Linked DNA regions of Mus musculus. The protein of the gene in region 1 binds, or shares a complex with, the protein of each later gene. Links are inferred from orthologs where the notes say so. Each region holds a gene or a part of one and is shown on either strand. Other genes may lie near its edges.

Region 1 (10,546 bases):
GAAATCTTAGCAAGGCCCCTGTAACTTTACTCTCCTTGGCCCTACCCAGTTAACCCCTGAGTCAGGGCCCTGCATAGCTGCCGAGGCCAGCGCTTTGTGCCTGGGCTTTCTTCCACCTCCTCACTAATCAGAGTTGGTTCGTAGCTGGTTCGTCATACCCTATTGTCCACTTCATTACTAGGGCCAGCACCATTCATTGTATTTGTGACAGTCTGTGGAATGCCAGCAGGGATGGTCAGGAGTGTGACTCTAAATAGAGTCAGGGTGCTGGGTGTCACCCCGCTGGCCTGAGAGGAGAAAGCTTAGCTGAGTATACGAGCTGAATTGCAGCCTTAGCCAGTCTCAAATGCCAGCAGCCTTGCAGTGTGGTTGCTTTGTCAACAAAATACTACTTGATTAGGAAGATCCCTGAGGGAAGTCAGACTTGATGCTGCAGGGAACTGGTTTTCATAGCACATATCACACTAATTGCACCTTAGTGACATGAAATGCACGCCCTCACCAGTCTCCATTCCTGATACTAGAAATCTGCATCTGTAAACCGGGGCTGTTGTTGACTTTCTCTAATCTCTCTGTGTAAAGGTTTGAGAAATAGTTCTTTAGACTTTGACTGTTTTCACGTTAGTTTACATTTTTATTTTTATGGTTAGTTATGCCTGTGTACCACAAGAGTACGGTGTCCATGGAGGCCAGACGAGGGTGTTGGACCCCCTAGGACTGCACCCCCTAGACACTGTGAGCCAGCCACTGTGTGGGTGCTGGAACTGAACCTCAAGTCCTCTGGAAGAGCAGTCAGTGCTCTCAGCTGATTAGCCATCTCTCCAGCCCCACTGGCTAAGCTTTTGTGATGGAAGTTTGACTGTATTGACTGTCAAGTATAAGGACCCTAATAAAGTAATATTTGTTCATTTTTAGTTACAAGACTAAGAGCCAGATAATCTTATACCGTATAAAAATCTTAAGGAATTAAAAATTAAATGCTTTTTCTGTTAAACCTAATCATTAAGTTGGTGTTTCAGCTACCAGGTCTGTGTTCTATTGTTTATGCATCCCAGTTTATTATTTATTCCACGCAGTTTTTAACTTTTTAAATGTATTTATTTTATGTGTATGGGTGTTCTTCCTGAAAGTACATATGTACACCATGTGTACGTCTGGTGCCAGTGAGGTTGGTACAGTGAGGTTGTAACAGTATGGAGTTACAGACAGTTGTGAGCAACCATATGGGTGCCAGGAACCCAGCCCAGGTCCTCTGTAAGAGCAGAAAGTTCTCTTAACAGCTAATCCATTTCTCCAGCCCAGACTTTAGTTATTCTTTCATTGCCCATTCTCTAGCTGGACTTTTAGAGCTCCCTAGAAGCACCTGTCCAGTTAATAAAGCCTTTTCTCCATCTCTTGAGTAGCATTACTCTCTACAGCATCCTTTTGAATGCTTTCTTATTACCTATTTAGAATAGCAATCTCAGGGATACAGTTCTGCAGGTGCCTTTCTGCTGACAGTCTACACGTAATGTTTCAGGATACATAATCCACCAGATGGTAAAGTAGACCTGGTTCCAAATAGGTTTTTAGAGATCAGGCCAAAAATGTTGAGAAAATATAGGCTTGGTCTGTCCCTTCCGTGTTCCAAGGCTTGAGATAGGATATATTTGTCTTGGTTTTCAAGAGTTTAGAATTCTTTAATTTAGGATCTTGCCAGCACACGTGTCTTATTACAAGTTGGAAGAGGTAGTAGTGGGCATCTGTTTGCTCTGGCTACTACATAGAACTCTGTCCTCTCATCTTGTGCGTTTAAATACTTGCAGTGGTGGGGAGAATGCATTTATAAACTACCTTGTGCTTCTTTTCCATTATACATGCTTTTTATGGAAACTTTGGAAAATGCTGAAAAGAAGACCTGCAGAAGAGAGGTCCCCATCCCTCACACCTAGAGACTCCTTTTGCCTCCTCATAGTGTCCTCCTCTTCCTTCTTTAGTCATGAGTATTTAGTTTAGTTTTATTTTTTGTAGTTATGATCTAGATATATATGATACATAATTTTGCATAGTTCACTTTTAATTCTTAAACACCATTATTACTAATGCATCAAATTTTACGATTTGTTCTCTGAAATTGGTCTTTGGGTTTATTCCCCGTCTTTCCCCCTCTCTCACCTCACTGCTCACAGCATCTAACTGGACATTGCACATCTTTGTGCTCATGGGTTATCTGACCTTTTGAGGCAGTCAGAACATGTTTTTAAAGTTCTGATTATAGTGTGGTCTAATAATGGAGTAGAAACACTTATAAAGAGGCATGGTACAAAGTAGGGAAATGACGCGGGAATTGATAGCATTCTGTAGTCCCCACTGTAATAATGGTTCAGCATAGACTGCCACTGGGAGCTAACAGTATTAGGTAAGATAAAACATTGACAGAGAACAGAGTAGCCACACAGACACAGGTTTTTTCTTGAGTACTAAGAGAAGAGTCTTATGTTATAGTGCACTGTTAGAAAGATCTGGTCAGTGCTTGGTAGCCAAGAGATATAGTAGCTGCCAGTGGCAGACTCTCATTGTAAAACTGTCATTGTGTACAAAGACTTAGTTACTGGGTTACAAAATCTTAAGTCTGAGCCTAGTCACATAGAAATGATGTAGCTTGTGAGGCATTCTGTCAGACAACTTTTCTTGGTTGTCTAAAGAGGTGGGTATCAGGAAAGACAGAAGGTGGGAGAACTCCCTGGACTAAAGAGGAATGAAAGTGGGTGCCAGTTAAGCAAAGAGCCTTGGATTTTATAAGTTGAGTCTGGGATTTAGAAGGAAAACAATCTATTGGGTGCTATAGTTCATGTCTGTAGTTCTAGCACTTGGGAAGCTGAGGCAGAAGGATCACTATAAATACAAAGTATCCCCGTCCCCTTCCCCCCACACCTTCAGTTTCAGAACTGCTAGGACCACAGAGTAAGACCCTGTCTCAAACAAACAGAACTGGGGACGGGTGAATTGTGAATATGAGCATAGGAATCAGGTCAAATCCATTATTAAAAACTTGACAGTGGCTTGTGCTTTAGATAGTAGTTTGTTAATACTCAATTTCTGGGTGTCATAATGGCATTTGGGTTAGGTAGGAAAATATCCTGGCTCTTAGGAGGTACATGGCTGAAATGTTGGTAGGTCAGGTAACATACTTACCTTTTAACAACATTTGTAAATGCTTCTGGGAATAAACAGAATCCTGTTCCTATGTATGTTTGGGTGTGGGATAGGAAGGGTAGAGCTAGGAAATGCGTACAGATGTTAGAACCTGGTAATCTAGGTAAAGGGTAGGATGGAATTCACTGGACAATTCTGACTTTTCATGGAATTGATTTCGAATTCTTTAAAATAAGTTTTGTTTTTCAAAAGCAAACCCATTAGAGCAGTAGGCTCCACTCTTGAAGTATTGGAAATCCTCAGCTGTATTCCTAGGAATTATCTGGGGTACCTGTAGTAAAAATCTATACAATGATAAGAGTGGAATTTGCTTCATTGCATAGGTGTTTCCTTTTCTGTATGAAATTTAAAGTCAGCCCTTGCCTGTAGAACTCAGAGTCATGTGTTCTGAACATGGAGATGGATGTGTGTAGTACATGTTGTCAACCTTGACCATTTTTTTTCTTTTAAAAATGTTTCTAGTTATAAGAATTACACCCTTGTGACTGTCTTCGGAAATCTGCATCAGGCACAGCTGGGCGGTGTGCCTGGGACTTACCAGCTGGTTCGGAGTTTCCTAAACATTAAACTGCCAGCTCCTTCACCAGGACTTCAGGTACCTCTGCAGGGCCAGACACATTCCAGAGCCACTAGTTGATCTTAGGCATTCTTAGTTGAAGGGAGTTCTGTGTGGTAAAGAGGCTGGGTCGTGCTGTTTCCTGGGGGCCCTTTCAAAACCAGTCATGCAAAAATCCTGAGTAGAGGCAGGAGATGTGCCAACACCATGTCTCAGATGAGTTTTCAAAGTTAAGCTTTAAGTGCTCTCTCAGACACTTACATGTGGGTGTAAGACACGAAGTGAGGAATATGTCAGAAGTTTAAAGCAAACCAGCTGAAAGAGTGGCATTGAGTGTGATTTAGTCCCTCTGCCTGCTTGTCTTGCAGGTGGGGGTTATTTTACAGTGTCTGATAGAATGTACAAGCTAAGCTGGAGCTTTGTGCCTAAAGATGCTAGCTTCATAAAAGGTCAAACTTAACTCTTAAAGAGCAGGGGCTCACCCTCAGTGGGCCTCTGGAAGGCTGTTCCAGGCGGGGAGAACAGTGTGGACAAACAAGAGAGAAAGCAGAGTATCTGGAGTGGTAGGGCATGTGGCAGGGCTTAGCAAGCTTTGGGTTAGCTGGTAAAGGAAGGCATTGAGTCCCAAAGCTGAGCATGTGGCCTTGCATAGCTTAACCGTGTTGAAGAGGGCACGTGATGCCAAGATGAAGCTTCTGCTACAGAAGGGCGGGGAGTGCCAAGAGTTCCGAAAGAACTGACAACGAACAGTACAAGGCCAGGCCTGCTCCACGGACAAGCGAAAAGTGGGTGGGTGGTCACATCGTTGGGAGTGGGAGACAGTCACCTCGCAGCTCTTGATATCCAGACAGTTAAACATTTGGAGGGATAAGTCATGTTCAGTTTTATAAGCTCAAGTGGATGAATTGCTCTCATTAGTCAGTGACATCTTTAGCCTTTATTTTGTCAAAATCAAAGAAGGTGATCCCATTGTTGCTGGCTAGGAGAAAAAGCATAGGTGGGCTCTGTTGGCATCACAGTACCTCCAGATCCATCGCACACTGCCACTCCCAGTTTTCCCTGGACAACTCAATGTGTTTTCGAAACACAGGGAATAGGATACAATCAGTGGCTCTTAGCCCATGGGGTTATGGTGGGAACTGCGTACCTTAGCTGGGTGTCTCACATCACAAAGTGTTTGTTAGCTTTTGTTTGACTGTGCCTTTGTCTTGTAGGATGGAGAGGTAGAAGGCCATCCTGTCTGGGCATTAATTTATTACTGCATGCGCTGTGGAGACCTGCTTGCCGCATCACAAGTCGTCAGTCGAGCCCAGCACCAGCTTGGGGAATTTAAAACTTGGTTCCAGGAGTACATGAACAGCAAGGATAGAAGGTACCATGAGCACTGTGCTTTGCTGCAGATATAGACTGCATTTAGTGAGTTTCCTGTCAGTGGAGGACTGCATGGAACAGACTCTAGGTTAAGACTGATTGCTTCATAAAACATAACTTTTTGTCCAAGAGTGTTGGTGTGTGCCTGTAATCCCAGCAGACAGGAATCTGAGACATCAGGTTGTGAGTTCAAGATGTTTTGTCTCCAGAAAACTAACTAAATAATAACTGAAATAAAATGAGTCTTTTTGTGTTAGTTACTTTGTTAAATACAAATATTCTTTGTTCAGTCATGTGGATGTGTATGCTATTTGCTGTATGCCTTATGACTCAAGTTAGAGCTAGAATTTCATCAGTCTGAAGTTAGCATTGAGATAATGACCACTGCCTCAAGAAGCGTTCCTAAACTAAGGGACTGGTAAGCAGCAGTTGGTTGTGCTTATGTAATTGGACACACGTTCATGTTCAAACCCAGTTTGTATATATGCACATGTATAGAAGAAATGTGACACTCACTGCAGTGGTTCCTGTGGGAAGCCAATACTCAAGGGCTAATACTGCCACTTTAGGAAGTTATCTCAGATCCTAAGCCTCTGATTTGCTTAGATAGTTTAAAGTAGGTTTAGGGCTGAAGATGAGCTCAGAAGTGGAGCATCTGCCTGCCCAGCATACACAGAGCCCAGGGTTTGATCACCACTGGGGTAGAGGCAGCATTAGCACCCAACTGAGCCAAAGATTGGGGTACAGGTCTACTATTTGGAAGGTGAGCCCGTGTGAATAAGGGGGTGTGGAGGCCCAAGGTTAAGAAAGTTGAAGGATGAAGTTGGAGTGCAACCTCAGTAGGTAAAAGTGCTTGCAGTGCAAACCTGAGTTCAGTCCCAGAGCCCTTGTTAAGCACGGTAGCACTAGCTGGTGATCTCAGCACTGGTGAAGTGAAGAAAGACGGCTTTCTGGGCTCTGGCAAGTCAGCCTGACCTAATTGGCAAGCTCAGAACAGAAAGGGATACTGTATCAAAACCCACCACCCACCCGAAGAGTGGCATGAGAGGTCGACCTCTGCCCTCTACCCTCTGCTGCACACACATGTGCATGCTGATAAACGTCAACAGCAAGACATTTAGGGAAGGACCTGCTTGAGGGATGTTGGAGGGAATATTGAGCCCTAGAATCCCCAGTCTTCCTAATGAGGTCTTAGACCTGTAGAAGGCCGATGGGCGAAAGGATGTAGTGCTAGCAATTAGAAGTCAGGTGAGAGTGGTGGGTGAGCAGAGAGGCCCTGTGCTCAGGATGATGGAGAGCTTCCAGACTGTTATGGGCATGCTTGCACTTCACCTTTCAGGATCTTTGCTGAGTCTTTCTCTCTCTGTGTCTTCAGATTGTCTCCAGCTACAGAAAACAAACTCCGACTTCACTACCGCAGAGCCCTCAGGAACAACACAGACCCCTACAAGAGAGCTGTGTACTGTATTATTGGGAGATGCGATATCACCGACAATCAGAGTGAAGTAGCCGACAAGACTGAGGACTACCTATGGTTAAAAGTAGGCACAGTGTCCTTTGGCTGCTCAAGTCCGCCATGCTCAACGCTCGTAATGCATGAAGTTTGTGTAGTACTCAGGACAGGGACAGTGGATTTTGTATCAAATCCACTTTATTTTTTTTATTGTGTAATTCCCAACTAATAACTACACAGTCAGCTTTCTTTTTCTTCTTTCCTTCCCTCCTCTTCCCCCACTTCCCTTTCCCTTTGCTTTGCTAGGGACGGAATTTAGGGCATCAGTCATGCTCTACTAAAATACAGCCCAGCCCCAAGAACCACAGTGTGTCATGTAGCCCCAGCTCACAGCATCAAGCTTAGCTGCTGGGCAGCTACAGCTCTGCGTGTGGGTGACGGTGTAGTCTGTACCAATGTGCTTGTTTCCTTTGGGCATTTAGTTGAACCAGGTGTGTTTTGATGATGACGGCACCAGCTCACCACAAGACAGGCTCACTCTCTCACAGTTCCAGAAGCAGCTGCTAGAAGACTATGGTAAGATCCTGGACAGTCACCATCTCCTTTGGGGGGGTATATGGCTTACCATTTTCAATCAGGTACAGACCATTATGCGTTAAGAAATATGCATCACTTGGATACTTGAGAGACTGAAGCAGGAATATCCTGAGTTCAAGGCCAACCTAGGAAACAGTAAAATTTTTGTCTCAGAATAAGAATAAAAGGGTCTGGGGCTGTAGCTCAGTACTGCAGTACTTGCCTGACATTCCAGAGACCTTGAGTTTGATTGATCTCTGGCCCCACCATAAGGAAATAGAAAGCTGTGACTTCATAGTCATAGACCATAAACATTTTTTCTAGTTCTTGCTTGGGAGAGAGGTGAATAAGGCCTTAGTTGCTTCCTTGTAGATCTTGCTAGTGGTCACACCTGATTACAAAGGAGAGGAGTAGCTTTTCCCTTTGACCTCCTCATTGTTGAACAGTTGTAGGAAGTATAGGGTCAGTGACTGCAGCTGTTGTTGCTGAGCTCAGGCTTCTGTGAAGCCGACTGTACATGCGCTTTGCATTTTCTGTCTCTATGTATATTGAAGACAACTGTCACTTCAGCATCTTGAGCCGTCTCTCTCCTCTCTAATGCACACAGCTTAGATTTTTATAACAGGACCCTTCTTTCTAACCATGAGTGAGGCCTAGAGAGGAGCTGGGTCTTTTTGTTGTTGTTGTTGTTGTTGTTGTTTTAAGCCAAGGCTTCTCTCTGTCTGTTACAGAACTCAGTTTGTAGGTCAGAATGACCTTGAGTCCACAGAGATCTACCTGTCTCTGTCTTTCTGTTGCTGTGACTGAAATTATTAGAAGCCTGCACCACCGTGCCTGGTTTCGGGTGGCATTTCATGTAGTTTCCTGTGCCCAGTGTCCCTTCAGTTACTTTAGGCTCATGTGGCTGCTTCTTTTCCACTCAACGAGACCATTCACTCAGTGGGTGGCAGCATCCTTCTGAGTGTGTTTTACCTCCTCTCCTGCAGGCGAGTCCCACTTCACGGTGAACCAGCAGCCCTTCCTCTACTTTCAAGTGCTGTTCCTGACTGCACAGTTTGAAGCTGCCATTGCCTTCCTCTTCCGCATGGAGCGGCTGCGCTGCCATGCTGTCCATGTGGCCCTGGTGCTGTTTGAGCTAAAGCTGCTTTTAAAGTCCTCTGGACAGAGTGCTCAACTCCGTGAGTATTTAGGTCTTAGCTGGCATTGATGTGGCCATAGTGCACCATCCCCCTTGTTCCTAGTCGGGAAATGACAGACACTCCAGATTTTGGTCATTTTAGAGCATTGTAGGTACATGAGCTTTTCTGTTAGTGTTAGAATGCTTGTTTTAACCCCTTGGCATTTCCTGGAATGTTAAAGGGTGATGCCAGGCAGAGCCATTCCAGGAGTCATGAGTATGACGTTCATTAGGGATCTGGCTTTAAAGACCTTGGAAACACCAGCTAGCCACCTATCAACTTGACTTCCTAGGTAGGAGAGGCAGGTAGAGAGCCAGGTAAATGTGAGTGGCTGACTGGGTCAGCACGTTCTCCCCAGTACATGAGCCATGATGGTCAGGTACATAGTTGTTTCCTGTAAAGGCCATCTGCTGGCCATCTGCCATAGAGACATTCACCTCTACTGTCTGTACAAAGGAAAGTGAAGCCACTGGTGAGGTCGTACTGGGAAATGGGGACTGCACCACAGAAGTCACGCTTCTTGGCTTATACACTTGATTTCCATGGGTCCTGGATTGCGGGGGTCTGAGGGGCCCTTCTGTTCCCATGTACAGTCAGCCACGAGCCTGGCGACCCTCCCTGCATGCGACGGCTGAACTTTGTGCGTCTGCTCATGCTCTACACCCGCAAGTTTGAGTCCACGGACCCAAGAGAAGCCCTCCAGTACTTTTACTTCCTCAGGTGAATCCTGCCTTTGCCTTTGTACTTGCCTAGCTTTTATTTCTCCATCCTGACAGTGACTGTTAGAGACTCAGTCTGCATCTGTACCACAAACCACCCAAGCTATTCCTGTGCTTTTGTAGGGATGAGAAAGACAGTCAAGGAGAAAACATGTTTCTGCGCTGTGTGAGCGAGCTTGTGATAGAAAGTCGAGAGGTAGGTCAGCTTTCTCATCACCCTGGCTGGAATTTTTAGTGTGCTCTCATTCTACTCTGTGTGTGTGCTGTACATGGCCTAGAGGGGGAGGCAGGCAGGGCAGGGCTTGCTTTGGTTTCTTACACTGACAATACTGACTTCAGCCTCACTGTGTCCTAGTTGTGAGAGACCTCTCCTTTCCCTTTGCCCTAAGAAATTGTGTGTTATGTTTATTTCCTTGACCAGTAAGCTGAGTAAACCTTTTTTCCCCCACAGTTTGATATGATTCTTGGAAAACTAGAGAACGATGGAAGTAGAAAGGTAGGTTAAATGTGTCCTTGGTTGTCAGAATGTAGTTATACTGTAGGAGTCATCTGGATACATGAATTGTAACAAATGGAAGGATGAAATTATAAGCCCAACTGATAGCATTAATTAGTTTTACACACATTTTTCTTTCTTTAAAATTTATAAATTTGTAATTAGTGTTTTCATATGTTCTGTCTGACATTTTTCTTAAAGCTAAGGCAGCTGTATTTTTGACTCAGAAAACATGAAGAAAAGTTAGGGTTTACTCTGCCTACTCTCTCCAGATGGGAAAGTTAGACATGCACTTCACCTCTGAGTACTCAGAACTCCCCACCAACCCCAGAAATGCCATCTCCCAAGAGCCTTAGCAGCTCCTCTGGGACTTACCATGCCATGGGACACTGTAAGAGAAGGGCAGAAGCCCCATGTCAGGGCCCAGTCCTAACCCTGGCCCCCCTGGGTGCCCACAGCTACTCACTTTCCTGTGTAAACCTCATGGTTTGGCCTGGCGCCCAGATGAGGGGCCTGCCGGTACTGATAGTGGGGGCCATCTTCTTGGCTTTGTGTAGTATCTTACTCAGGTAAGACAGTCACCCACAAAGTGAGAACCAAAGCAGAAATAAAAGTGGCTAAGTACTTTCTTCAAGAGCACACAAGTGGAATCTGAGCATGCAGTGCATTTCCTGGGTTGAGGGGCAGGGCACTGGAATTTGGCCGAGCCCTGAAGGTGCCTTAGCATGCACGGTCAAGCACAGTGTTGCGCAGTCGGTCTTCCCTCCCTGAGTCCTGGGGCCTGTCAGACTCTCCTGATCGTGTGCCTGCTAGTGAGTGGTGACAGAGGCTATTTCAAAGTCCTCACCACCACTTCCTGCATCTGTCTTAGAAAGCAAATTGAAAGTCCTAAAAGTATTTTCTCATAACATCCTGCTTGCCAGCAAATTTAGAATCACTAATAGTTTTACCTACTCTTAGTCATTTTGGAAAATCTCTCAGAAACCACTAATGTGCCATAGC
Region 2 (10,646 bases), on another chromosome or scaffold:
TGTTGCCCCAGAGTGTTCTACCTCAGACCACTTATGCTCATGTGCACCCCATCAACCGCTTGGTCCCCTTATAACCTCTCTTCCTCAGACCTACAAACAAAATCCTCCTGAAACGACGGCAAGTTTACCAAGCACCGCTCCCCGTGCTAAATTAGTTTTAAACTGCTCTGGAGCAGAGAAGGAAAGATGCAAAACCTACTCCACAATCATAAACTCAGAGAGCTGAGCCAAGGCTGGAGCAGGGGTCCTCCCAGTCAGCCGACTGCAGCGCGCAGAGTGCACAGGGCGGGCGGCTGCCGTCCGCGCACACTCACCAGGTCCCAGAAGTTTTCATGCTTGCTTGGGTTGTCACCGCCCAGGACATCTGCCGACAAACTGTCCACCTCGCACACGTGCAGTCGGACCCAGTCAAGAAGGTGAAGGAGGAGAGGGCCAGCTGAGGAGAGACTCATGTCACACAAAAGAGCTCAGCTTCATCTGCGGCATCTCCACTCCACCCAAGTACAGACACGGACGTGGATTTATAGCAGAGGACCTGACTGGACAGAGGGCTATTTATTCCCTGCAACTAGGAAGGACAGAGGACGACAGGAACCCTGTGATGCTAAGACAGAGTTAGCCTGGGCTAAGTGAGGCTACATGAAACAAACAAATTGGGGTTACCTGGTGCTACTTCAATAAAGAGAATCTCACACAGGTTCCAAATGAGCTCCATGGCTGACAAAATGGAGACCTAGGGAAGAAACGGAGACTAGTTTTAACTGAAACTATTACTGAAACTCGAATGCAAAGCAACAGACAGCAAGAGAGATGGCTTCACAGTCAATAGACTCTGCTGTGCACACATCAGGAGCAGAGTTTGGATCATAGCACACAGATAACAAGCTGGAGACCTGAGCACATCTGAGGCCTCAGCTACAAAGGGAACAGAAAGGAGGGTCACTGCAGCTTGCTGGTGTCCAGCATAGCCAAAATAACACAACTCCCAGGATCAAGAAGAAAGAGAATGAGCAGAGAGAGTGGACATTCAACATCTTCTTCTGTCCTCCACATGCATGCACAGGTACGCTTGTACATACATACACACAATAAAAACTGTTTTAAAAAGGTGACATGTCAGCCGAGGGCATAGCTCAGCAACAGTGTGCATACTTAGCACACCTACAACACTGGAACCAAGACCAGGCACTGCAACAACCGAAAAAGCAAAGCCCAACCTAAGATGCTTTAGGAAGATGAACGTCCCCCACCCCACCCCACCCCCCTCCATCACCCCTTGTTCCAGGGGGAGAGCATACTGTGCCCATCAGAGAAAGCCTATTTTCCCTGTTCATGAGTTAGAAAAGCTCTGGGGTCTCACTGAGGAAAGAGTCCTAGATGTCGCCTTCTAGTCCTGCTGAGTTATAACCACATGCTGCTTGACAACAATTCTGAGTTCATGAGACCAAGCAGTAGTCCTAGAAGCTCGGTTCTCCATCTCAAGTGACAACTCACAAACACCATGTGTTAGGACTCATCTTTTCCACAAGCAATGAAAACCCTGAGTTCCCATGGGCTAAAACCTTGACCAACACTTTCAAAGCCATACTTGCCATCCCAAAGAGCTGCTGATCTACCTGAAAAGGAGAGCCCTCCTGCAACAGGGACCACAAAGCCACCACCCTACGCACTAACACGATGTTGCCAATACAATGAAAGCAGCTACACCTTACCTGGCTGCTGAACTGCCGGCCACTGGCTGGATCTTTAGCAGCAACTAGCAGAATACAAAACACCTTAAGTCAATCAACCTGCACTGAATGTAGCTCATCTCCTAAGCCCTCAGAAGCCCCATACGGTTTTTGCCTTGGTTTCTTTTACCACCCACCCATTTTCATGTGAAACGCTTATGGATCACACATTAAAACAAGGACCTATTATGAACTGCACAGCAGCCTCCTTAAAGGCCTCTGGAGAAAACAGCACCAGATAACGTACTTCAAACACACACAGGGTCCTTACTTGCAACCTGATGCATTTCTTCCATACAGGCCCGTATGACTGAACGGTAATTTTTACTCACTCGAACCAATCTACAAAAAAAATGAAATGACATACAAGATGACATGGAACCGTATCTTGATGCTAGAAAGAGAGAAATCAAAAGACAGGAGACGGGCTGCAACATCAATTCCAGGAGCTCTGAGTGCTCTGGCCTCCAGTACATATAAACTCATGTGGTCACACCATACCACACAACAAACAAACAGCTTTGTCACAGTGGTTTTAAAGTGCGTACTACTGTTGGAAAGGACCAGAGTTCAGTACCCAGCACCCTTATCAGATGGCTCACAACTGGCTGCAATTCTGGTTCTAAGAAACCCAATGTCATCTTCTGATTCCCACAGGTACCTGCACCAATATGCACCTACACATACATGGTTAAAATAAGTCTGGACTGCAAAGACGGCTCAGGTTAAAAGCACTACTGTTGTAATCAAGCCTGTGGCGTATTTTCTCAGTTGATAACTGATATGGGAGGTGCCATCCGAAGCTGGCGGTCCTGGCTGCTGTAAGAAAGCAGACCGAGGGGCTGCAGAGATGGCTCAGTGGTTAAGAGCTCTGACTGTTTTTCCAGAGGTCCTGAGTTCAATTCCCAGCATCCACGTGGTGGCTCAAAACCATCTGTAATGGGATCTGATGCACTCTTCTGGTGTGTCTGAAGAAATAAATCTTTTTAAAAAAAAAACAAGAAAGAAAGAAAGCAGACTGAGCAAGCCACGACAGTATGGCAGTGTGCAGGGCTCCTCCACGGCTTCTGCATCAATTTCTGCTAAAATTCAGTGCTCGATGCTCCAAGCACTGAATTACCACAAGCCTGGTAATCGTGTCTGTAACCCTGAGCTTGAGAAGTAGAGGCAAGAGGACCAGAAACTCAAGGATACACACGTATTTGAGCACATACATAGCCTGGGCTACACAAGTCAGCAGAGTGCATGCCAGGTGTATGAAACCCAGTTTCACCCTCATCTACTTACTGAGCTCAAGGAACGAGCACAACAACAACAACAAAAAAGAGTGAATAATAGGAAAGAAAAAAAACAAACCGTAGCCTGGAGGGCTGGCCCAGTATCACGGCTCAGCAGCTGGGCACTCAAAGGCAGCTCGAGCTCCGCCACCCCAAAAGGAAGCAAAAAAACCAAATCCTGATTCCTTGTCAAAAACACAAGCTTGAGAAGCAAGTCTTTCTTTTCCATTTGCCTTGTCTGCTGACGCCTGTATTTCTTTCATATTAAGACAGGGTCTCGCTTCTGCAGCTCTGGGCGGCCTGGAACTCACTCTGCTGACTACCAGCTCTTAAAGATCTGTCAGCCTCGTTTTTAACTCTTTCAAGAGTGAGATCTAATTCAAGGGCTTCTCTGTCTGAGTCTTCCTTTCACCATATTTATATTATTTTTATTTTGGTCGGTGGTGGTGTTCAAGGGACACATACAAATGAAGTAGGAATCCAAAAGGAAGAGTTGATACATATATATCAAGCCAGTAAGTCTTCCAACAGCATTTACACAATGCACAACTACACCCTAAGAAGATACACAGGAGAACAGGAACCCCGAGGTGCCCCGGCACTCACAAGGATAAGGACGCCTCCCTCTCACGACTTCACTGCAGCCTCAGCACCCACCACTTACTGAGCTTTCCTGGACTTCCCCGACAGTTCTTCCTCAATTTTTTGCAGGCCAACAAAGATTCCATGGGATTCATTGAAGAGTTTTCTCAAAATTTGAGAGTAAACATCCACATCTTTCCGTATGATGTAGATAAAAGGGCAGCTCGGCACCTTCTCTGATTTGCCTGTAACAAAACAGGAAAAAAAGTAACTCAACATCTACCATTTTCCCCAAAAGAGAAAAACATCCCAGTACTTCTAATTCTCTAATTACAAAGCCCGGCTGAGCCTGGGGCACATGTCCACTTTCTCCACCGGTGGGAATGAGACGGGAGGATTAAAACTCAAGGGAAGACTAGTGCACACAGTCGGCCAAGCAAACCAGGTTTACGCCAAAAGAAAAAAAGATTTGTCTTCATCTGGTCTGTGTAGGCTGAGATTACAATACAAGCAGGCAGCACAACACAGACTTCTTTTTTGGTGATATTGATGATCTAATTAAGGACACTGCCCATGCTAAAGAAGTTATCACTGAGCCACTGAGTGATAGCCTACATCCTTGGTTTTTGAGAATGGGTCTGGCAACATATCCCAGGCAGCTGGGGACTCTCTATTCCCCCCGCCAACTCTTCTGCACAGTAGAAAATCTAAGGTTGCAAGCGAGCGTTGCCTGAACCCAGGACTTTGCCTTCAGCTGAGGCAGTCTAACTCACTTCTTTGGGCTTGTTTTTGTTGGGTTTCTCAAGACAAGATTTCTCTGTGTAGCCCTGGTTGACCTAAAACTCATTCTGTAGATCAGGCAGGCTGTGAACTCACAGAACCACCTGCCTCTCTGTCTCCTGAGTGCTGGGATTAAAAGGTGCGTATCTCCACACCTGGGCTATATGGGTCGTTTCTAAAGGTTAATTATAGGAAGGGGGCTGAAGAGATGGTTTGGCGTCTAAGACAACTGGCTGAAATTTCCTGCCTTTAATCCTAACACTCAGGAAAAAAGAGCAAGTAATTTCTGAGTTCAAAGCCAGCTTGGTCTAAACCAAGTACCAGGACAGCCAGGCTACACGGAGAAACCATCTCAAAAAACCAAAACCAAACAAGAAGTACACAGGCAGCTCTTCCAGAAGACCTAAGTTCAACTCCCAACACCCCATATGGCAACTCACATAAATATAGAGTTCTAGTTCCTAGAATCCAATGATCTCATTTGGCCTCTGCGGCACCAAGCACGGAGTGGTGCACAGTTATGCACGTAGACAAAATGCCCATACACAGACTATAAAATTTAAAAATTACTTAATGTCAAGTGTTGAACCACACACCTCAAGTCCCAGCACTCTGGAAGTCGAGGGAAGAAGATGTAGAATTCAAACCTACACAAAGATTGCACAAAGACAAGCCCACTAGGACTACATAGGGGCAACTTGTCTCAAAATAGCAAAAAAACAAAGTTTCAAAAATAAAAATATTGCCAAATAACTCCAGTTTCCTGCCTCAGAGAGTCAACCAATGTGCCAAGACAGATGTGAAAAAGAACTGCCTACCTGTTTGGTTGAAGGAAGTTTCACACAGAAGCATCTCGCCGGGGCCCCAGTCAAAACACATTTGCTTCTTCTTGGAATTCACACCTGGAATCCACTAGTAAGACATAAGGAGGCACAGGAGCTGTTAGCCCTACAACTGTCCATTCAACTTCCAAGTGTAACTGCGAACACCATACACCAGGCGAACAGCCTAGGTCGTATCCAATGATGCTGTGCACATATTCAGACATATACACACTTAAAAAAACATTTTCTAGGTGCAAGAGGAATAGAATACAACGCGACAGAAACTAGTCTATTGTCTCCCGTGAGAACAAATTATGCATTTATTAAGCCTCGGACTAGGACAGCAGGACAGGGAAAGGCCAACTCATCCCTTGGAGTGACCATGTGGGGCTTACACCAATCTCATTCTAACGCCCAAGGGGGGAAAACTAGAGAAGCAGAAAGGTTATAAAAACAAGGGTGATGCAGTGGGGTTTCCGCGAGCCGGCCAGTATTCACAGGACCTAGGGACCACTATTGCCATAACCTAGTTCCCAGTTAACCTGACATTCGGGATGGTGGCAACTGTGTCCAGGGAAGAAGCGTGCGTCCCGCATGTAGGGAGGCAGCCTGAAATGACCAAAGAAACGTAACCCTCACAGTGCAACAAGCCAAGCCACTCCACTCCGATCGCCCTTACAGTTACTGCGGGCTCGCAGTCGAGCTCCTCCATAGCGCCGTGCCCCCCGCGGCTGGGACCCTGCCGCGCGGCCGCTTCTCTGCGCTCAGGCCTCCCGCTCACAGACAGCTGCCAAAGAGGACCCCCTCCAGGGCGGCTTGCGCAGCGCCTGCAGACCTTAGCGCAACAGATCCCTTCGTCTTAGCCAAACACAGCCCCTTGAAGCCTTTCACACATGTTCCACTATTCTAACCTATACAACACATCATGAAAACGGCTCTAGGGCCCACGGGTCCTCAAGGAATGTTCCCAGTAGATCAGGCGGCGCCACAGACAGTCCCACACTAGGTGAGGGAAAGGTCCCCGGAGATGGCGGGAGAGGCGGTGGCTGGGAGGGTGTGCGCATGCGCAGAAGCGTGCTGGCGCATCTATTTCGATTGGAGAGCTACTCCGTCTCTGTAATCCTACTTTATCTCTTAGCGGTAGTTGTGATCCCTCCCTCCTGGTCTGTTATTAGAATATTCTCAGTCCCTTTTCCGAACTCCGACCAGTATAATGCGCTTATTTTGGAATTAGTCTCGGACACATGACATCCGTAAACAACGGGACTTCAATCTTTTATGTACTGGCAACTTTTCTTTCTTTAGGATTATTCTGAACTATTTCTACCTTAAATTGGTGGTCATACATGACTTGGAAGTAGGGCATAGTAACATAAGCCGGAAGATGCAGCACTTGGGAAGTAGAGACTGAAAAATCGGGAGTTCAGAACCAGCCTTAGCTACATGGCAAGGTTGAGCTCGCATCGGGGCTAACTGAGACCCAGACTCAAAAACCAAACTCCCACAAACTTTAAGGAAATAAAGGAAAACCTTTCTGTCAAATTTTTATCCAAATCCTAATCATCAGTGATTTAGGGAGCTAGAGTGTTGGCTCAGTGGTTAAGAGCATACGCTGTTCTTCCCGGGGAACCTGGATCAATTCAAAGCACTCACATACATGTGGAACAGTCCCAGGCAATCTGATGCCCTCTTCTGGCCTCTGTGGAACCAGGCACACACATGTAGTACACAGACATACACAAAACACCAGTATATATACAATAAAATAAATTTTATAATTAACTTTTTAAAAAAGATTGCATGTATGTGAGTAAACTGTCACTGTCTTCAGACACACCAGAAGAGGTCATCAAATCCCATTACAGATGGTTGGGAGCCACCATGTGGTTGCTGGGAATTGAACTCAGGACCTCTGGAAGAGCAGTCAGTGCTCTTAACTGCTGAGCCATCTCACCAGCCCTTAGTCTGTCTGTCTTTATTTTTTTGTTTGTTTGTTGGTTGGGTTTTTTTTTTTCTGTTTTGTGTGTGTGTGTGTGTGTGTGTGTGTGTGTGTGTGTTTGTTTTTCGATACAGGGTTTCTCTGTATAGCCCTATGCCTCCCTAGTGCTGGGTTTAAAGGCGTGTGCCACCACACCCGGCAAGCCCTTAGTTTTTCAAGACAGGGTTTCTCTTTGTAGCTTTGGCTGTCTTTGAACCTAATCTGTAGACCAAGCTGGCCTCAAAGTCAGAGATCTGTCTGCCTCTGCCTCTGGAGTGCTGGGGTTACAGACCTGTGCTACCACCACCCAGTGACAATATTTATTTATTTATTAAAATTATTTATTTTAGGTATGTGAGTACACTGTCTTGAGAACACCAGAAGAGGGCATCAAATTCCTTTACAGATTATTATGAGCCACCATGTGGTTGCTGGGAATTGAACTCAGGACATCTAGAAGAGCAGTCAGTGCTTCTAACTGGTGAGCCATCTCTCCAGCCCCCTTGTTTTTATTTTTCTGTCCGTTGGTTTTTCCTACATGATGTCTGTGTGAGGATGTCAGAAGCCATGGATCTGGAGTTACAGACAGTTGTGAGCTGCCATATGAGTGCTGATGATTGAACCCTGGCCCTTTAGAAGAACAGCCAGTACTCATATGTGTTGAGCTATCTCTCTAGCCTCAAATATGTTTTTTTTATTTTATGTATATGAGTACACTGTAACTATCTTCAGACATACCAAAAGACAGCATCAGGTCCAATTACAGGTGGTTGTGAGCCACCATGTGGTTGCTGGGAATAGAACTCAATTCTCTGAAAGAATAGTCAATGCTCTTAACCACTAAGCTATCTCTCCAGCCCTACCAACAATTTTTTTTTACTGTTTTAACAATTCTTTTTTTATTATTAGATATTTTCTTCATTTACATTTCCAAAGCTATCCCAAACCTCCCCCACACACACCCACTCCCACTTCTTGGCCCTGGCGTTCCCCTGTACTGAGGCATATAAAGTTTGCAAGACCAAGGGGCTTCTCTTTCCAATGATGGCCAACTAGGACATCTTCTGATACATATGCAGCTAGAGACACAAGCTCTGAGGAGTACTGGTTAGTTCATATTTTTGCTCCACCTATAGGGCTGCAGATCCCTTTAGCTCCTTGGGTACTTTCTCTAGCTCCTCCATTGGGGGCCCTGTGAGACATCCAATAGCTGACTGTGATCATCCACTTCTGTGTTTGCTAGGCCACGGCAGTGCCTCACAAGAGACAGTTATATCAGGGTCCTTTCAACAAAATCTTGATGCAATGGTGCCAACAATATTTTTTAAGGAGAAAAGAAAAAAACTTAACATTTTCCCAAGTAAAAGTAGTGATTAAAGCCGGTCATGGTGGCACACACCTTTAATCCCAGCACTCGGGAGGCAGAGGCAGGCAGATTTCTGAGTTCAAGGCCAGCCTGGTCTACAGAGTGAGTTGCCAGGGCTATACAGAGAAACCCTGTCTCGAAAAAAAAAAAAAAAGTAGTGATTAACTGAGCTTGGTAGCTCATGTTTCTAATCCCAGCATTTGGATCTCTGAGGCAGAAGGATAATAAGTTCAAGGCCAGCCTGGGCTATATCACAGACCCTGTCTCCTCAACAAAATGTACCTATGATACCAGTAGCATAATTTGTAACAAAAGATGGTAAGACAACAGTCATTAGCCCAGCCCTCACTATGTAACCCAGACAAGCTTCAAATTCACACTTGTCCTCCTGTCTCAGCCTACAAAACATTTCTTTGTCAGATATGATCTACTATGTCTGACTCTAAAATACTTCTATTTCTCCCCCCCCCCCGGGGGGGGGGAGGTATGTTTGTGTGGATGTGAGTATGTGTGTGGATGTGTGTGTGGATGTATATGTGTTTTTGTGTCTGCTAACCAGTAGTGTGTGAATGTGTGTATACAGGTATTGTTAGCCATTTATTTATAGTAGTGCAGAGGCCAGAGGAAGACATTGGGGTCATACACTATTCATGTCCCTGATTTTTTTTTTTTTTTTTTTGGAGACAGGGTTTCTCTGTATAGCCCTGGCTGTCCTGAAACTCTGTAGACCAGGCTGGCCTCCAACTCAGAAATCCACCTGCCTCTGCCTCTCAAGTGCTGGGATTAAAGGCATGTGCCACCATGCCTGGCCCATGTCTTATTCCCTTGATACATACTCTCTCACTAACAAGGAGCACACATGTAAGTGAGGCTGATATACACTCACACTTGACAATAAACAAACATATGGCTAGAGACTCGACTCAGAGGCTCTTCCTACTTTTACAGAGGACACAAGATCAATTTCCAGCCTCTAGTAGGCAGCTTGCCAGTCTGGAACTCTAGTTTCATGGAATCAGTGGCCTCCACAATACTTAATGTTACACATACATGCTGGCAAACACTCATATATATAAAACATAAATTTTGTTTTTAGTTTTAAAGTAGAGACCTGCCTGCATCAGCCTCCTGCGTGGTGTGTGTGCCATTACCTCCCAACAATTTTTGTTTTGTTTTTTTTGTTTTTTTTGTTTTTTTTTTTTTAAAGATTTATTTATTATATGTAAGTACACTGTAGCTGTCTTCAGATGCACCAGAAGAGGGCATCAGATCTCATTACGGATGGTTGTGAGCCACCATGTGGTTGCTGGGATTTGAACTCAGGACCTTCGGAGGAGCAGTCAGTGCTCTTACCCGCTGAGCCATCTCGCCAGCCCAACAATTTTTGTTTTGTTTTGTTTTTGTTTTGTTTTGTTTTTTTCAAGACAGGGTTTCTCGGTGTAGCCCTGGCTGTCCTGGAACTCACTTTGTAGACCAGGCTGGCCTCGAACTCAGAAATTCACCTGCCTCTGCCTCTCAAGTGCAGGGATTAAAGGCGTGTGCCACCACACCTGGCCCAACAATTATTTTTAAAAAAAAGCGAGACAGGTTAAATAAAAATTATCAGCTGAGGGCTGAAGAGATGGCTAATCAGTTAAGAGTACTGACTGTTCTTCCAGAGGTCTTGAGTTTAATTCCCAGCAACCATGGCTCACAACCATCTGTAATGGGATCTGATGCCCTCTTCTGGTGTGTCTGAAGACAGCTACAGTATACTCATATACATAAGATAAATAAATAATTAAAAAATATATCAGCAGAGCATGTTGATGCCTCCTTGAAATTCCAGAATTTGAAAGGCTTAAGCAAGAGAATTGCCATGACTTTGAGTCCAAGAAAACTACATCTCAAAGACTAAAAATTAAAAAGAAGTAAGCTGTACAAAGTCAAGTGAATGTTTGGGGTTCTTTTGTTTGTTTGATTGATTTATTTTTTCGAGACAGGGTTTCTCTGTGTAGCCCTGGCTGTCCTAGAACTCACTCTGTAGACCAGGCTGTCCTCGAACTCAGAAATCTGTCTGCTTCTGCCTCCCAAGTGCTGGGATCAAAGGCATGTGCCACCACTGCCCGG
Region 3 (10,646 bases), on another chromosome or scaffold:
ATCTTTAGCATACAGGGAGTAGACAGTGACCCACCATTTACCCGTATCTACTTGAGCAGCAACCAGGGAGTTTCCTTGTGTTCTTGAAGCAGTGAAGCTATGTAGTTTATTTATCACCTCTCTCTGAAGTTTGTTCTCCCAACATCACATGCCGGAGCTACAGTCGAGCCTTTGTTATCTCTTCATTATGGAACCCTTCAGTACCCCTAACAGCCCTGCTTCCCACAGATATGCAGGCCCCCTTCAATTTCCCCATGGTAACCAGAGGGATCTCGTGAAAATTAATTTGCGTAGGTGTTGTGTGGGTGGAACCGTCGGATGGGTCCGGAACAAGAGTGGGGTCCAAACCCCAGAGATCTTGTTCTGAGATTGGCTGGAGCAGGGTCACTCTCTCTACCCCTGCCCCCGGCCTGTGTGTCCCGGTGTGTATACGTCTGTGCTCTGCCCTTTGCCCCACTCCCTGGTAGCCAGGTTACACTTCCTCTCTCCTTATAAGGTCATGTCCACCAGCACCTGGAATTCCTCCTTACAAAAATGGGGTGTCCCCAGGACCCTCGACCCCAACAATGATGTACAGTCACCCCAATAGTCCCTACTCAACCATCAAAGGTTAAATAGCTTTCTCCCCCAGCCCCATTAAACTCCCTGTCTCACTGAAGCAGTCCCATCACAATCACATGCTGCCTGAGGTCTTCATCCCTGGTTGTTCCTGCCCACCCCATCCCCCTTGTGGCCAGCCCCACCCCCACCAGGATCTACCAGTTGTTATTGTGGGTCCTTCGCATGCTACAGGCAGAGGCAGGAAAGCAGAGCCTGACAGATAGGTAGGATTGGCTGGAGAGATGGCTCAGCAATTAAGAATAAGTACTTGCAGAGGACCCACGTTCAGTTCCCATCACATCACCCACACCATGGGGCTCACAGCTTCCTATAACTCCAGCTCCTGTGATCCAATACCCTCTTCTCTGGATTCTGAGACTATCCCACTCACACAGGCACATACCCGCACATGCGTGTAAATAGAGACAAAATAAATCTAAGCATTTTAAAATCATCTTGGGGGGTGGAGCTGAGGAGACAATTTTGTAACAACATTTGCTATATGTACTGGCTAGTTTTGTGTCAACTTGACACAGGCTGGAGTTAACACAGAGAAAGGAGCTTCAGTTGAGGAAATGCCTCCATGAGATCCTACTGTAAGGCATTTTCTCAATTAGTGATCAAGGGGGAAAGGCCCCTTTGTGGGTGGTGCCATCTCTGGGCTGGTAGTCTTGGGTTCTATAATAGAGCAGGCTGAGCAAGCCAGGGGAGGCAAGCTAGTAAAGAACATCCCTCCATGGCCTCTGTATCAGCTCCTGCTTCCTGACCTGCTTGAGTTCCAGTCCTGACTTCCTTGGTGATGAACAGCAGTATGGAAGTGTAAGCCGAATAAACCCTTTCCTCCCCAACTTGCTTCTTGGTCATGAAGTTTGTGCAGGAATAGAAACCCTCTAAGACACTATATAAGCATAAGGACTGAGTTTAGATCCCATATAAAAAGCTGGGTGCACCCATGCATGTCTAACAATTGTGCTGGCTGGTACCATCTGGAAGATCCCTGGGACCTAGTGATGGCAAAGCCACAAGCTCTGGGTTCAATGGGAGATGCTGTATCAAAGGACTAAGGTGAAGAGGAATAGAATACCAGATGTCCTCCTGTGGCCTCCACATACATGCACGAGCATGCACACCTGCACACAGGTACACACATGCATACACCACATTCACACACACAATCGTTTGAGATACTTCCACTGTGTATCCTAGGCTGGCCTCCAACTTAATCCTGCTCATGCCTCCTGGGTACCGAGATTACAGACATGCACAAACATGCATGCTTGTCTCTAACAACTAAATTCTGATCATAAGATGCTTTGGTCTAAAGCTTCTTCAAAGGTTTTCTTACTGCTATCAAGAATGTATGAAATCCTGACCATAATCTATAGGGAAACAGATTTTTGTTTTGTTTTGTTTTGAGACATTGTTTCTCTGTATAGCCCTGGCTGTCCTGGAACTCACTTTGTAGACCAGGCTGGCCTGGAACTCAGAAATCCGCCTGCCTCTGCCTCCCGAGTGCTGGGATTAAAAGCGTGTGCCACCACGCCCGGCAGGGAAACAGAATGTAATGGTAATTTTTTTAAAAGGTGGGGCCAGAGAGACTGCTCAGTCAGTACAGTGCTTGCTGTTAATGTTTGAGGATATGAGTTTAATCTTCATCACCCATATTTAAAATTAAACAAACGCTGAGCACAGTGGCATTCATGTATAACCATAACACTGGGCAGGCAGAATCAGGAGTCCCCTGGGGCTTGCTGGCTGGACAGTCTTGCCAAATAAGCGATGAGATCTAGATTTATTGAGAGACCTTGTATTAGAAATTAAGAGTAAATTAGGAAGACACCCATGTCAATCTCTGGCCTTCAGGCACGTGTGCACATATGTGTGTATACACTCTTCCCACACATGCATGTGCTCTCTCTCTCTCTCTCACACACACACAAAATGGGGCAAAGAGGTTCCTGAGAAAACTAAAATTAGATCTACCACATGACCCAGCTATGTCTATAAGGACTCCAAGTTAGTCTATCACATAGATGTATATCAATCTCTACTGAAGCATTAGTCACAATTGTTAACAAACCTAGTTGCCTAACAACAGAGGGATGGATCAGAAACAGAGGATGGTATATACTCAAAAGAGTTTTCAGCCCTAAGAAGGAAGTTATGTTGTCATTTGCACAAAACTGAATATCACTGGAGATAAACATTATTAAGTGAATTAAGCCAGTCACAGAAGGAAAAAAATTCATTTATGATTCCTAGGTTTAATTAAACACATAAATCATATGACATGGAAAATGAAGTAAAATTACTAGGGAACTAATGGGAGAGACAGGGAGAAGACAGAAAATTTAGGAGTAGGAATATATATTCAAAATACAACATAAACTTGTATCAAGATGTCCTAATGTAACACAGTGCCATGTACAATAAATATTTTTAAAAGGAGAAAAGAATCGGGGCTAAGTAGAGAAAAACCAGCGAAGTGACTTTGGGGATGCTGCTTTGCAACTCTAATCCTCAGTCCTCCTGTCTCGTCTGTGCCAATTAGTCAACGACAGAAATCTTCTCTGTGTAGTTGAGGATTAAATGTTCCCCAGAAGTGCGATGCAGGGCACAGATTTTACCAGTTAGTGGGCCCATTTGCTTCATCGAGGTCAGCCCTTCTTCTTGGTCAATGACAATAGTAGTAAACTGTCTGAAACGCAGCTGGGGGTTTAAAAAAATATGCAAAAACAATTACTAGCGTGCATTCCACATAGCTAACACACGTGTTACCACCATCGCCATCATCTTTCCATCACTCTCGAATGCCTCTTTCTCAACTGCTTTATCTACTCAAACCTCCTTTCCTCCGGGAAGGACCGCTCCTCAGAGGTAAGGGCAGTACTTTCACGCGGTCCCTGCACACTGTCACTTCTCTAAAGTGGCTTCAGAGAGCCACCATACAACACCCCATGTCCAACTTCTCATCACTTCCCCTTTGTGGTGACGCCCCACACCACGTGAAAGCCACAAACACACCCCCGGAAGTGATCGGTGGTAGGCGTTCCCGTTCGATCATCCCACCCACTCCATCCTTGCTTGGTTCCTGCCTGCTCCGCTTAGACCGGGAAGGAGGCGGAACTAATGGTACGGACCGCCTGACGGTTCCCAGCCGGACAGAAGAGCGGAGGGCACTGGGCGTCGCGCCGCGCGAGCCCGGGGCCATCTAAGTGCTGCTCCCGCGACATGGCTTTCAATTTTGGGGCTCCTTCGGGCACTTCGGGCACCTCTACAGCCACCGCGGCACCGGCGGGTGAGTCAGCCCTGGGCCTACCTTCTTCCTCCAAGGAACCAAAGCCTCGGGCCCGCCCCCTCGATCCGATCGGTCCGGCTGGGGGGTCCCGGGGTTGCCCTGGCACTCGGGACACCTTGGAGTCATTTGGAGAGGGCGGTGGCGGTGGTGGCGGCGGCGGTGGCGGTGGGAGGGCCGCGGGCTGCTCAGGCTCAGCCTGGGGCTCGCACAGCACGCTCAACCCGCGTGGCTCGGCCGCCGCGGTGCTTCCCGCCATTGGGGTGTCCGCCCAGGAGAGGCCGGAGGCTACGCCCCTCTCATTTCCCGGGACCCCGCGTCCCCTCGTCCGTCTCAGCCTCAAGGTCCAGACGGGTAAAGTTGGAGCCAGGCTGCCCGCAGCTCCCTCTGTCCCCTCCCCAGCCCGGGGGGGGGGGATGCTCGGCCCCCGCCCGTGCTGCCCTTCGCTCCTTCTGTCTGTCCGCACCTTGGCTTTCTTCCCCTGATCCGGTGCAGGTCAGGTTTGTTCACGCTGTGAAACCTCTTGCTGATTCTTGTAATTCTTACCTTTCTTTCTTCTCCTTTTCTCTTTCCCTCCTCTCACCTTTTCAAATTTTTGTTTCTCTTGCCTCCACGACTATCAGGATTTGGTGGGCTTGAGACTGCCAACTCCACCGCCGGTGGGTTTAATTTTGGGGGTTTCGGATTAACCGCTAACCCTGCAGTGAACTTTAATATTGGGAATTTCGGTGTTTCTACTACCTCGGCGACTCCGTTCAATTTTGGTAACAGTCTGGCGAGTGCAGGTAGATACTGGGGTCATGTGTGTAACGAGTATGGGGGCTGGAGTCCAAGAATGTTCCGATGTCCCTAGAGTTTGGGGGAAGAAATGGCACTTGTCTAATAAAGAAAGGGGTTTATTTCCTAAGATCAAATCAAATATATTTAAAGTTTTGGCTGCTTTAAAAGATGTGGGTTTTGGAAAGCCTTAAAGAATTAGAATGCACCTTGGTTGGATTTTCATTTAATGATACAGAGCACAGCTTCCAAATGATAAGTTGGGAACCGAATATTTTTTAAAACATTAGCTTTAGCAGAAGGTAAGCGTTTCCCTGGGATTCTTGGACTCCTGCAGTCATTTTTCATTTTTTAATACATATTTCATTGGGATTTCATCTTATTGTCCTTGTGTTTCCAAGAGAAACAAGTCTTATACGAACAGCAGCGACCTGTCTTGTTTTTCAAACTGTAACGATGTTTTTCTAGCATTAACTCAATATATTAGGATGTATTTCTATATATAATTGTAGAAAGAATCCCGGATTCTTTGCTGGGTTTTTGGGAAATTTTCCATGAGTAGTTTTAATTTACCAATTAACACTGAGTTCTAAAAAGTAGGCTCGGCATCTTTTACTTTCAAAAAGAGGATGATGAAGGTTTTTGGTTTTTTGGTTTTTTTAATCTGTGGCTTGTTTGAAGATCACTGAAATTTTTCAGAACACAAATTAATGGATGTGTACGACCCAATTTAAGTTAGGCTTATGTGAGCTCGACATCCGTATGACTCTTAGAAAACTCTCCATCCTCAGCTGCTCGTATATGAATGTACTGTCCATAGTTTATGTTCCGTCAAGCCACTGCTGCCCGTGCCAATTATATGCATTTGGTAAGCCTTACTTCTAAACTTACTGGGAAAGTTGGGGATTTTGTCCATTTACTGGGTTTTACATTGTTGATGTCACCTTATCCTCTCAGTTAAAAATAGTGAAAAATACTTGGAAATTCCAAAGATAAAGGGACTCATTAAGAAATATTAGAAGCCGCACCCACCACCCCTGGGGTGTTTACCTTTCCTAGTTTGCTTAAAATTGGCACTGGGCAAAACAAACCTTATTTTGAAATTTATGTTTCAGAATAAAGCAAACCATATAGTTTAACAGCAACGAATAAACCTGTTTGTATTTGCTTGATTTCATGTCCATTTGGCGTTGTCGCTGTTACTTTGAATTGTACAAATACAAGTGTGTTTTGACTATTTTCAAATATGTTAATTAACTCAGCCTTCAGGAGAGAGCTTTAAAAAATTACATTTTTTGTATCCATATAGGACTACTATTACTAATAAGAGTGTTTTTGATAATCTGAAACATGACAAGATACTGACTAGCATTTTTAGTGTGTAGCCAATTCGAATAACATAGTTATTATTTGAAAGTAGGAAGTTAAAAGGGCTCTATAGACAGTATTTATTTTAGAGGTTATGTCAAAATGTTTGGCTGGCAGTATTTTGATAGAATCTATAAATTAACATGTGTTCAGTTGCCTATTTAATAATTTTTAAAATCTGAATTGTATTGCTAAGAGTACAGGGTAGTGGTAGACTACTTGCCTGCCTTGTATGAGCAAGGTCCTGGATTTAATACCAGTGCCACAAAATTGATTGAAGCTAATTCATTTCTTTTTCTTTAGAATGGCATCTCACTGTGTAGTTCAGGGTCATTTAGAAACTGTAAGCCTGCCTTAGTGTCTCTCTCTATGAGATTGCAGGCGTATACCAAGACATCCATCTCATTGCAATCTTGAAGAGGCTCTCTTATTACAAGAAATATATGAGGTTCAAGTTAGAATCTCTGAAAACTTGGAGTGTAACTCAGCATTTAGAGTTCAAGTGTTTTTTTTTTTTTTGAGAGTTTTTGGCAGCATATTTATAACTAGATAACTGCTGCCAATACTTTAAATTAGGTTGTCATTTCATTCTGTTTTTACATTGTTAAGATATACCAAGATTGATTTTCTTTTTTTTTTTTTTTAAATAGATTTAGTTAAAAATAGAACCTGTCAGGTTGCCACAGTGTGACGCAGGCCCATGGTAGCTGAGGCTACCTTCTTTGCCATTTCTCCACTTATTTTTTTTTTTTTTCCTTCCTTCAAGAAAGACATTCTTTCGGGAGGCAAAGGCAGGTGGATTTCTGAGTTCGAGGCCAGCCTGGTCTACAGAGTGAGTTCCAGGACAGCAGGGGTACACAGAGAAACCCTGTCTCAAAAAAAAAAAAAAAAAAAAGACATTCTTATTTTATAGAGGTAGACATATTGGTATGTTTTGGTACGTTTCCTTTAGTAGTTGTTTCACACAGACTAAGGGCATCCCTAATGAAAGCTAATGGAGATGTAATTTAACTCACGAGAATTACGGTTGAGAGCTGGCAAAGCAAGCCATCTGCTGCCATCGTATGCTTGGCACTGTTTAAACAGTTGAGTTCGTTGTAAAACAGCAACGTTGAACTAGGAGATTTTGAAAAGACTGTGAGTAAGCTATAGACATAGTTCAGGGTAGAGGACTTACTCAGCCATTCGTTCACTCCCTACCTCTGCAAACCCCTACAGGTTTTATGCAAAGGATCTAGATTTCCTATTTTTGCTGGGGAAGGGGAGAGGGGAGTGGTGACGTTCTCACACCTACAGTAGCCTTCTGGACTCTCGAGAATGCTCTTTGTTAAGGGGTTCACTTTAAACAGCTCCACTGTCAGTAAACAGTCATTAATTTATTAGTCAAAATTGTATGGACGCTTGAATTTGTAATAGCTAGTCTAAAAGTGGATATATATCATTTTAGACTTAGGACAGTCTAATTTTTTTTCAATCACGTTACCCATTTAGTTAACGGGATTTGTATTGTGTTGTATTATTTCTGTCTAAAGCACTTGGTCATTTATTTCTTGCAATGCATTGACCTTCTGATTAGTAAGTAATTAGGATTTTTTTAACCTATGTTGAAAAAAGAAAAGAAAAATTTAGATCAATATGTCCTTTATATTTAGCAACTACTTACAAAACAATTTGAAATGAAAACGCAATCCCCGCTGTGTGCACAAAAGGACCCTTACGTTTTATCCGTTTTTAATTAGGTGGGTTTGGAGGATTTGGAACAACAACTACAACTGCAGGCTCTGCCTTCAGCTTTTCAGCCCCAACAAACACAGGCAGTACAGGTAAGAGGTTATCCTAAGTCCTAAGACATAAATGTGGCACAGGTTGATGTTTTTAGCTTACTCAATTCTGATTTCTCATTGAAAGGCCTTCTCGGTGGCACTCAGAACAAAGGTTTTGGCTTTGGTACTGGTTTTGGCACAACGACGGGAACTGGCACTGGTTTAGGCACTGGCTTGGGAACCGGACTTGGATTTGGAGGATTTAATACCCAGCAGCAGCAGCAGCAGCAGCAGACTTGTAAGTGGGATTTTACCTTCAGCTATAAAATTGTGGCAGTAACAGCAATGTTGCTTCGGATACAGATTGCCTTAGTTTTAAGGACTGTAACTGTATCCCAAAGAGTTCCGAAAGCATAATATTTATTCCAGAAAGTTATTCCAAGATGCATAATATTTATGCATTCTTGGAATTAGGAAAAAGACTGACTGGTATGATTGGGACTGTAAGGGCCCTACGTTTGAAGTCAGTCCATGAAAGCTGTAGTGATTTCTGTGTCGGGGTATAGTTTACTAGATTATACATACGGGCTCACCCTTGTCATGTTGAGGCAGAACCTGAGCACACTCCATATCTTCCCTTATAGCACTGATCCATGGGACGAGCTGTGTCCCGGCTTTCACAGCCTCTTCCCTTCCTTTGTAGTTCTGCTGTTTACAAGTGTGAACATCATGAGTGTGAACGTCACGAGTGTGAACTGAACAGATCATTTTGCCATTCTTAGATCTCTGCAGGCTCCTTTTATATCATTAATTCACAGATGAAGTCAGATCTTTGTCTTTCAGGTTTTCTATTTGTACTTTACTGAAGTCATTCTTGTATAGTTAACATAATCTTTGTCATCTGTATCTCCTAATTGTTGGGGATAGTTCAGTATTTTATTTTTAAGACTGTGTCATAGAATATCCTTTATCATGCAATGTATAATATCTAAATATGTGGTTTTGTAATGATGCTAGCAGCCATTGGTAATCATTACTTAGATGAGTTAATTTATTACAGATTAAGAAGTAGTGTTGTTCATGTAGATTTTTTCATTCGTTTGTTGAATTCATTTGTAAGGAACTTTACCTCACCTGTGTGTTTTGATTTTTTTTCTTTTTTTTTTTTTTTAATGTTGGAAATACAATCAGCCCTCTGGGTCCCGTTCTCCCCCCCCCCCCCCCCAAAATAAGGGCTTGTCTCTCCAACCCTTTGTTCCTAGGAGTGCATCGTTAAAATCTTGCTTCATCAGACTCAGCCTTTTGGGTCCTGTTTTTTAGAGTTAGGCTGTCAGGCATTTCAGTTTTGTTTGTGATGTGCTTGGCTCGCTGTGAGTCAGACCTGGGCCTTCTGGAAGAGCAGCAAGCACTCTCAGCTGCTGCGAACTGTCGGGTTTAGTTCAGTTTTGATTGGATTATTTGCTTGATTTTTATTTTAATGTTAGGAGTTTGTAATATCTTAAATGTGACTACTTTATTGGGTCAGTTGCTACCAAGGATTTTCTCCTTTTCTGTAGGTTGTCTTCACTCTTGTCATTATTTTTGCTTTACAGAAGCTTCTCATTGTCACAGAATGTCACTCGCCAAATTTTATGTGTGTGAGTGTGTGCCCATGTGGAGGTCTTCCTTAATCAGTCTTGACTGGTTTTTGAGAGCGAGTCACTGGAGCTGCAGCCTGGTGAATTGGTTAGACCACTGGCCAGCTGGTTCCTGGGGCTCCCCAGCCCCCCTCCCGGCACCATGGGCCCAGTGTGTGCTGCTGCCCGTGCTTGTGTCCTCGGGTCTGTAGCAGCACCTGATCACTGAGCCACCCTCCTCAGCCTGTTCACACCTTAACTGCAGACATGGAGACTGTTCCTTTACATTTATGATCCTTGTTGACAGGTCCGGACTGATTTCTAAATTCTAGTTGTAGGCTGATGTTTGCTAGCTGTTAGATTGTTTCCTGATTCTTCTAATCTATTTCAGTAAGTGCCTCTGCATCTTTGCTCTTCACCAAACACCCTTGACTTCTGTCGTAGCTGAGACCCTGGTTATTCCCTGGACACAGTGTTTTCCCTTTGCTCTTTTCTTTTCTTTTTCCTTTTTGAGACAGGGTCTTATTCTATAGCCTAGGTTGGCCTGGAATCACTATGTAGCCCAGGTTGGCCATAAACTCTGGCAATCATACTACCTGTTTTCAAGTGCTAGCTAGCATTACAAGTGTAAGATACCACACATGGTTGAACATGCCGTTTTCTGTTTAACCCTCTCAGATACAATTTGAAGAGGAAATTTGGATTGCAGCACTATTTTATTTTAAAGCCCTGCTTGTCTGAGATGCTGTCGACTGCACTGTCTCTGAAGCACTTGGTCTCTGTGTCTGCTGGCTCTGGCCATATTTCATCAGTCTGACCTTTTTTTTATAACTATGCTACCAGTTTGGGTTATTGTAGCATCTGTATTAGCCATGCACTCATCCCTGTACTCAGAGGGGTCCACTGCACTTGAGAACATTTCACCTGCCTTTCAGCCATTTCCAGGCTGGTCTCTGACTTCCTCAGAGGCTTTCTGGACTGCCAATGCTTGTTGCTTTCCTTCTGTTCTGACCTGGCTACAGTCTCGCCCATATGTAAGATAATATAGAAACCCATTCTGTAAGTTGCAATACCGACAGCTGGGAGGGGCGTATTTTGCTTACCATACCGTGGGTCTAAGTTTCCTGGGCTTGTTTGTTTGTTTTTCCTGCTGAAGCTTTAGGTGGTCTCTTCAGTCAGCCGACCCAGGCTCCTGCACAGTCTACCCAGCTCATCAACACTGCCAGC

The links.
Region 2: Nup93 (region 1) and Nup85 share a complex: the UniProt entries of both Homo sapiens proteins name them as parts of the nuclear pore complex. The link is inferred for Mus musculus from reciprocal best matches to the Homo sapiens genes NUP93 and NUP85.
Region 3: Nup93 (region 1) and Nup54 share a complex: the UniProt entries of both Homo sapiens proteins name them as parts of the p62 complex. The link is inferred for Mus musculus from reciprocal best matches to the Homo sapiens genes NUP93 and NUP54.

The regions. Positions count from the first base shown.
Region 1 is NC_000074.6:94,297,103-94,307,648, forward strand, and holds part of Nup93 (nuclear pore complex protein Nup93), read left to right. Parts: intron 1-3,657; coding exon 3,658-3,790; intron 3,791-4,965; coding exon 4,966-5,123; intron 5,124-6,497; coding exon 6,498-6,663; intron 6,664-7,057; coding exon 7,058-7,151; intron 7,152-8,137; coding exon 8,138-8,329; intron 8,330-8,922; coding exon 8,923-9,049; intron 9,050-9,171; coding exon 9,172-9,244; intron 9,245-9,499; coding exon 9,500-9,544; intron 9,545-10,546. UniProt on the Homo sapiens protein: Plays a role in the nuclear pore complex (NPC) assembly and/or maintenance. May anchor nucleoporins, but not NUP153 and TPR, to the NPC. During renal development, regulates podocyte migration and proliferation through SMAD4 signaling.
Region 2 is NC_000077.6:115,559,789-115,570,434, reverse strand, and holds the start of Nup85 (nuclear pore complex protein Nup85), read right to left. Parts: upstream 5,992-10,646; 5' UTR 5,906-5,991; coding exon 5,873-5,905; exon of another isoform or gene 5,833-5,872; intron 5,282-5,832; coding exon 5,188-5,281; intron 3,835-5,187; coding exon 3,672-3,834; intron 2,073-3,671; coding exon 2,002-2,072; intron 1,757-2,001; coding exon 1,713-1,756; intron 734-1,712; coding exon 664-733; intron 437-663; coding exon 315-436; intron 1-314. UniProt on the Homo sapiens protein: Essential component of the nuclear pore complex (NPC) that seems to be required for NPC assembly and maintenance. As part of the NPC Nup107-160 subcomplex plays a role in RNA export and in tethering NUP96/Nup98 and NUP153 to the nucleus.
Region 3 is NC_000071.6:92,428,256-92,438,901, reverse strand, and holds the start of Nup54 (nuclear pore complex protein Nup54), read left to right. Parts: upstream 1-3,702; 5' UTR 3,703-3,831; coding exon 3,832-3,898; intron 3,899-3,919; exon of another isoform or gene 3,920-4,390; intron 4,391-4,518; coding exon 4,519-4,680; intron 4,681-7,779; coding exon 7,780-7,863; intron 7,864-7,948; coding exon 7,949-8,101; intron 8,102-10,575; coding exon 10,576-10,646. UniProt on the Homo sapiens protein: Component of the nuclear pore complex, a complex required for the trafficking across the nuclear membrane.